2 linked regions of the Caenorhabditis elegans genome follow. The protein of the gene in region 2 purifies or fractionates together with the protein of the main gene of each other region. This does not show direct contact. Each region holds a gene or a part of one and is shown on either strand. Other genes may lie near its edges.

Evidence for each region. The genes of interacting proteins can lie anywhere in the genome.
Region 1: the proteins of ZK1098.2 (region 2) and vab-7 fractionate together in Caenorhabditis elegans (co-fractionation; one large-scale study listed by BioGRID). This does not show direct contact.

The regions. Positions count from the first base shown.
Region 1 is NC_003281.10:10,918,463-10,922,216, forward strand, and holds the start of vab-7 (Homeobox protein vab-7), read left to right. Parts: upstream 1-1,881; 5' UTR 1,882-1,923; coding exon 1,924-1,965; intron 1,966-3,124; coding exon 3,125-3,263; intron 3,264-3,754. UniProt on the Caenorhabditis elegans protein: Transcription factor. Involved in motor neuron fate determination and maintenance, acting as a transcriptional repressor to counteract gene activation by transcription factor unc-3 in a subset of motor neurons.
Region 2 is NC_003281.10:9,527,424-9,531,177, forward strand, and holds the start of ZK1098.2 (uncharacterized protein), read left to right. Parts: upstream 1-1,735; 5' UTR 1,736-1,742; coding exon 1,743-1,904; intron 1,905-1,951; coding exon 1,952-2,067; intron 2,068-2,115; coding exon 2,116-2,301; intron 2,302-2,345; coding exon 2,346-2,625; intron 2,626-2,670; coding exon 2,671-2,801; intron 2,802-2,843; coding exon 2,844-3,384; intron 3,385-3,738; coding exon 3,739-3,754. Other genes in the region: ZK1098.6 (uncharacterized protein), read left to right, coding at 131-734, 1,068-1,181, 1,234-1,266.

The DNA of each region.
Region 1 (3,754 bases), 1.4 Mb from region 2:
GAGTACTGAGAATAGTGAACGTTTTTAGATTTTAAAGTCTTTTCTCTTTTCTGAGTAGATGGAGCGCGATGGAAAACTTGATGAAGAGATAAAGTGAAAAAAAAACAATGAAAGCGCGCTCCATCGGACAAAAAATGTCGGAATTTCAAAATTGCCGAATTTTAAAATTTTCGGCAACCGCGGCCCACCCCTGGTTCGGAAGTTCCAGTGTTCTCAGGCACACTGCCTATACTCAACTTTTGAAGGGACATGCCCTACAAATAGAGTAAACATTAAACCATTTTGTATTGTCTTCCACATGTATTCAAGTGTATCAATACCAAAAAGTAATGAAATAGAGAGAAGGGGGAGCGGAATGCCTGATGAATGATTCATTCTCTCTCTCCCGATGCAACATTTAGGGGAGATACATGCAATGACAATAAAAGAGCTGCTTAGTCATGTCACTTAATGACTTTTGATGAGGCTTTCATCACTTTTTGATGGGGAGGAACACTTTTTTGTTTCCATCTGACTTTGTGGCCTAATTAAGAAAAACTAGGCCATTGTGTAGATGGCTTTTAAAGTTTTGAAAAAAAGGTTATGGGAATCCCAAGAAACTTCAAAACTCTGATTTCGCAAAATTGAATTTCTATTAGAACGGTGAGATCATACATACCAGGGGTGTGCGGCAAATTTGCCGAATTTGCCGTTTGCCGAGCTCGGCAAATTTCAAAAAAGTAGATTTGCCGAATTTGCCAAGCTCGGCAAATTTCGAAATTTGCCGCACACGTCAAAAATTTGACAGTACAATTTTGACTAAAACTATTGATTTTTTAGCCAAAAATTTAGTAAAATGATACAAAATTGAGCTATTTTGATGCTTAAACAGACATTCTACGCGGAACTTATTCAGAAACCAGATGTGTGTTAAGAATTCAGTAGTTTTGGTGCTCCAAAAAATATAAAAAAATATCAAATTTTTCCGAGTTTGTTAAGCACGGCGAATTTGCCGAATTTGCCGAATTTGCCGTGCTCGGCAAATATTGAAAAAAGAGATTTGCCGAATTTGCCGAGCTCGGCAAAAGTGGCCTAGAAAATTCAAGTTAGGCCACCTGTCAATTTGAATGTTGAATTTTTATGTTGAAAATACTTACATAAGTTTTTTCATCCGTTTCACCTAGCTAAGCACATGGCCTAGAAAAATCAAAATTAGGCCACCGTAAAAGAGAAAATAATTTGTATATTAATATGAAACATTGAATGAGCTAAGGGGCTCCAGTTGCTTTGTGGCCTAAAAAATTTGAACCCTCGGCCACCTCCGTGAAATTTTCGAAAATTTTCATTTTGAATTTCATCGTAACGGCCGGGAACTTTAGCTTGATCACGTGGCCTAGAATACTGAAGTTTTTTGAGAACCGTTATTGGGGAACTTTCACGCAGGTACCTCGTGGGTATTAGGAAACATGGTCTAGAAAAAAAATTAGACTGTCTGCAAAATAATTTTAATCATTGTGTAATATTCTTCATTGTAAGGGCCCTAGAACCTTTACTTGGTTACGTGGCCTGGAAAACTCAAAAATTCGGCCACTAATTGGTTTTTTGAAGTTTTACTTGAAAAAAAAAATGACCTGATGTTTTTGAAAAGCAATACATTTTCTCTTAATATTAAATTTCCAAAAAAATGCCAAATCTGCCGTATTTTAAATTTCAAACGTCATGGAAAAAGATTATTATCTAAAGTCTCTTTCTATTCCAGCACTCCTTCCCCTCTTCTATTGGCCGCCCTTCTCATCTGAGCGTGGGGCGTGGCCAAATCCACCGTAGTCACCGAGAGGTTGAGCCCCGCCCAGCGCCTTATTCTATTGTTTCCTTTATCTTTGAGTTTTAGTACTCAAGTTCTTTTATTTGAAAAAAAAACTATCAAAAATTTTAAAAATTAGCATGCAATCATTTGATATTGAGTCCCTTATTGGGGTTAATAAGGTGAGATTTTTTTGTTTTGTATTTTGTTTTGAGAACCATGTTTTTTACTTTTGTAGAACTGTTATTTAATGTCTGTAAACTTCTTGTTGTCAAAGATCCATTAAAATTAAAGTTTCTAAATTTTTGTAGTTTTTTAGGGATTTTTTCAACTTTTTTGATAACTGTAATAGGTAGAAATAAAAAATTATATAATTTCATGCAATAAAATTTAATGAAAAATTATTAATCTAATCATAAAAGTTTAGAAGATTTATGTTGCTAAAATTTTATTTGATAACTGTAAAAGTTTCATTCAGTTTCACAATTTTCAAGATTATCGGGCGTTTGAAGCTTAAAAGATAATTTTTTTAAAGTGTTTAAAAGTGGTTATAACTTGGTTTGTAATAATGCAAGCAAAAAATTTTCAACAAACAATTTGTTCATTATGTTTTAAGCTATAATTTGTTAGTTGTCAACTTTTTGATAACTGCATTAGTTGCAGAGTTATGGACAATTTAATTAGGTTGCATAATCAAAAAGTGTCATATTGCATAATCTCAGCTATAATGCATAGTTGCATAGTTATTTGAATTATTGAAACATTTAAATTCTAATTTTTTAAAATCTGTTTTGCTAGAAGTTTTTAAATTATTCTTTAAACTATTTTCTTTTTTATTAATACTTTGAAATTTTGATTTAAGAAATACAGAAAAAAAAATTAAAATCGTTTTTTGAAAAGTTGAAATTACCGAAAATTATCTATTTTGACAGCCAAACTTCAGTTATTTCTAGTATTCAAATTAATTCCAATTGTAGTTGAAAAATAATTATGTCTAGTAAAACAATGTCGATTTTATTTTCAGATCAAAAACTGTTTACATAAAAAAAGTTGTTTTTACCTCTTTTAATCTAGAAAAATTTGAAAAAATATATCATTGAAACTTTTTCGACACCCTAAAGTCTTTTAGCCGAACTCTGAAGACCCCCGGACAGCTCCAGGATGATGCAACTCTTAGTTTCTAAGTAAAGCCTCCCTGACACCCCAAAACTGTTATGGCCTAGTTTTGGGTCCCTAGGCCACGTTGAGCATAAAATCTACTTTAGCCCCATCACCTAGGACACACCCCCCCCCCCCATCCGAACACATAAAACATCTCGTAATTCGAATTCTCATTTCCAGGTCCCATCACTTGTGGAGATGGTCGCCGCATCTCGAGCTTCCTCATTTTCCCCTCCATTTGAGCAGCAGCATCATGACCCGATGGGTGTGGTGGCCGCAGCGGCAGCAGCAGCAGCCGCCGGACGTCATCATCCGTATGGTAAGAAAAATGGGTGTGTGTGTGCCCGAGATGAGAAGGGACATAATTATTCAAGAATACTTCTTCCCCTAGCTTCATCTCCTCGCTGAACACTAATTTAGTCCCGTATTTGGGTGGGGGTGACAAATTGAGGGAGATTGATTGAGGTGGAGGGGGGTGAGCGGATGGATGAGGTTGACACGAGCAAATGGACAATGAGCACCTATTATGACACGTGGGAGTAGTGGAGCGGGTAGGCAGTGGCCGAGTTTTTTCTAGGCCACGGGCTAGAACCAACGCGTGAAAGATTACAGTTACCTCCGAGAAGTGACTGAGGTTGCCTTTTTTAGGCCAAAAGTATAAACAAATTTCCACATTCTAACTTTGATAGTTTTTACAGTTTGGTTTTTTTTAAATTCAAATTCCCCGCCAAAAATTTCTCCGCCAAAGTTTCTACTCTGAAAATTTGAATTTTCCCGTCACAACTTTTACTGAGTGAGATCTTTTGAAAT
Region 2 (3,754 bases):
CTACAGTGCTCTTTTAAGGCGCATACCCTTTCCGCATTTCAAAAAAATATGTCGTGTCGAGACCAGATACCGTATTTTTGGCGCAAAAATCGAGGAATTATCCATTCTGAACCGAAACAAATAATTACAGGTCCTTCAATTTTGGCTCTGAAACGCTCAATGCTAGTCAATTGGACAAGAGTCAGGATCAGACAATCTTTGAAAACAACTCAATTCTTGTCGACAAAAACGTCTACGAACAATTAGTTGCCACGTGTGATGCGATGAAGGCACAATTGCACCAATTGATGGAAATGGTCGATGAGAAGACATTTGATGATCAGAATCAAAATTCAGAAGAAATGAAATTAATTCTGAAAGAAAGAGATGAACTGAAAAAGAAAGTCGATCAAAAGAGCAAAGAGACTGTGCATTGGACCAAAAAATACTATAAATTGAAAGCTTATGGACAAGAAATATTGAAAAAGCGAGAAAATGAAATTAAACTGCTGAAATCGGAGGTCGTTGATGGAAAAAAGAAGCTCAATGAGATAGTTGAAACGATCAACCATTTGGAGGATGCAGCAAATAAAGAAAAGATCAAACGGAAGAATGTGGAAAGTGAGATGCGAAAAGCTGACAAGATCATCAAGGATGCTTTGAGGGAAGAGATGGAAGCAAGGAAACAGTCACAGAAAGAATATCTTCTTGAGAAAACTGAACGAATGGCTCTGGAAGAGAAAATTAGTGAAAATGTTAGTACTTGATTCTACTTGGTTTGAAAGTTTGACCAAGTTTTGCAAATTTCGCCTCAAAAAGTACGGTATCTGGTCTCGTTCAGTTCAAATGTGTGTGCGCCTTTAAGGAGTACTGTAGATCGTAAATATTTCGTTTTGCGGGATTTTCTAATTTGTTTGAAATTCACTGAAAAGCATGGGAAACTATAATATATCAAATTATTTTGAATGCAAACTAGGAAAAATCAATTTGATTTCCCTCCTCAAAGGCACAAGTTGTTTTTGAATCTAAGAAAATCGGTCGTTTCGGGACTAGATACCATATTTTGGTGCACAAATCGCAGTTTCCAGGCCGCTAGTGCTCGCGGAGTCATCGTCCGAAGTACTTGTCCTGTTGCCGATCATCACATCCTGAACCAGCGAATCGATGTTCTTCAACGACAGCGAAAAATTCTAGTGGAAAGTGTAAGCCAACATTTTCCCATGTTCCTTCTGTTAATACTACTTTTTATTCCAGATCAATAAAAGAGATTCGCCCATCCATCATTAGATCTCCTTCATTTTCAATGCTCTGTTCAAAAATTCAAACTCGTTGCAAATCAGTTCTAATAGTCCTCGATCAATAAATATTTCATGTTTCTTTTATATTCGAATTTTCAAAGAAAAACTACAGGAGTGTTCAAGTAATGTTTAAAAAAAACCAAATACGGTGTATTTTACTGGAATTTAGCCAAATTGTTGAGTAGAAATTCAAAAAATTGTCAAATGAAGTATCAAATTGGCAAATCCATTCAAATATTACTTTCAACTTTTAGCACTAAAATCAATAAATCGTGCCTCATGCCTGCCTGCCTACGTGTTGTCTGCATTTCGGCGTGAAATGGAAGGTTTGGTGTGCGCACCTGCATGTTATAGATTTCCTCGCGCAGCGGCCTTCTACTAATTATTTATGCTAATTTGCTTAAATAAATATTTTTACTTTTATTTTTAAATTTTTCTTCAATAATCTAAATTTTTACAGGCGAAATGGAGGTTAAAATAGAGGAAACCGATTGGGACGAGGGTGTTCCAGGAATTTCATTTTTAAAAGACGCGTTTTCTCGAGAAGAGATTTCTCCACCAAAAGACGATAAAAATCGAAAAAAGGAAGAAGTTCGAATGAAATTGGAAAGCGGAGAATATAGCGTGGTAAATGAATAATTTAAAGTTTTTAAAGTCCAAATTCATTAGTTCAGGTGTATCGATGCCCGACATTCGACGAAATTTTGAACGAAAACGGACAAAAAATCGATCTCGTTCAATGTAAAAACTGTTTTGGTTTTCTAAGCGCACGAACAGGAGGCCACATGAAGTATGGAGACTTCAAATTTATTTTTTTAATTAAAATTTGAATTTTCAGAAACCATAAAAACCAACGTTGTAAGCCGTTAAATGGTCCACCAGAAAAGAAACCGAAGCTTGATCCACAAGTAGTTGGTAATCTCCAGAATCATATTCTTGATTTCGTCACTGAAAGCGGCGTCTCCTTGAATATTGCCGAATCGGAAAAGTTTAGAATATTCATCATTTCAATGATAATTACTGGGTATTACAAGTATCCACTTCGTATATAAAAAAAATAAATTTCAGAAACCCGAATGTTAACGTTGACGAACATCAATTTCTTTCTGGCGAATGGATCAGGAAAACTATGAAAGAAAAATCCTGTCAATATCTTGATAATATTGGAGCCGAGCTGAAAGATCCTGTATCGAAAGGAGATGCATGCTTAATATTAGACTATGGCCGACAGCTGGACGATACTTTTTCGATTTTTGTGTCATATACTAATAGATCGAGCGGATATTTCAGTTTACGTGTGATTCCTCTCGCATTCACGCCTCTTTTTGAAAAGAAGATAACCGAAAAGGTTACTGTTATATTATTTTTAAAATTAATTACGAATAACTTTCAGACACTGGATTACATTCTTCATGCGACAGATCGTGTTGGTCTCCCAAAAGAACATGTTCTGAAGTTGAAAGTTGTCGCTGAAGGTGCCACGAATATGCTGAAACTTGGGGAATATTTCGATAATTGTAACTTGTGATTTTCTCGATTTGATTAAAAAAAAAGGAAAATTTTCAGATTCACCGTATGCCTATCATTCTCTTCAAAAATGTGCAGAAAGAGTTTTCGATCCACTGAAACCGTGGAAAAGTTCGATAACTTCATCAGAAAAATCACATGCGAAAGTGATCGAAAAAGGAATAGAAATCTGTGGAATGATTTCCTCCAAACTCCGGCTTTACAAAGTTTGATAAATATATATGTTCTTTCACTGATTCTACTATGTTTTCAGCTCACGGAGCAACTCTCGAGAACGCCTGCCCAATCCCGTGCAAATGAATGGCTGGCTTCTTATCACTGCGCGAGAGATATTTTACATGTCTTTCCACAAATTGCAGATCTGAAGGACGATCGAATCGAACCTCTTGTCGACGAATTGAGACAATGTAAAGGTGTTTTGGAGGATTGTTTTGAGATTTTCTCATTGTTCGAGAATCCTCTCAAGTTGTTGGAACAACCCGAACAACAAATTCAGAACGTGGCTGGGGTGATGTTCGAACTTTATGCTCAATTAGATAGAATATACATCAAAGCAGTGGATCCAAAGCAACCAAAAGAGGTAATTTATTATAGGGACGAAGAGAAATGCGCTCCGCCTCCAAACATTAGGTCTCCATAGGTATTGGCGGCAAACATTTTTGTTGTTGCTGATTTCACCCATTTCCAGTCATTTTCCGTCCATCTTGATTTTGTTTTATGTCTAAATGAGTTTTTTAAATTTCCTTATGACGGAAAAATCATTAAAGACAACGGAAAAATACTTGAAAACGTTTAAACGTTTGAATTTCTGGTTTTGCCGCTAATACCTAACGGGACCTTAATTTTGGGGGCGGAGCGATATCAAAAGGTGCATTTTTCTGCGCTCTTATAATAATTTTATATATTCTTTTAGAGTTTATCCATAATTTTTCAGTGTTTGGCGGCAGTTG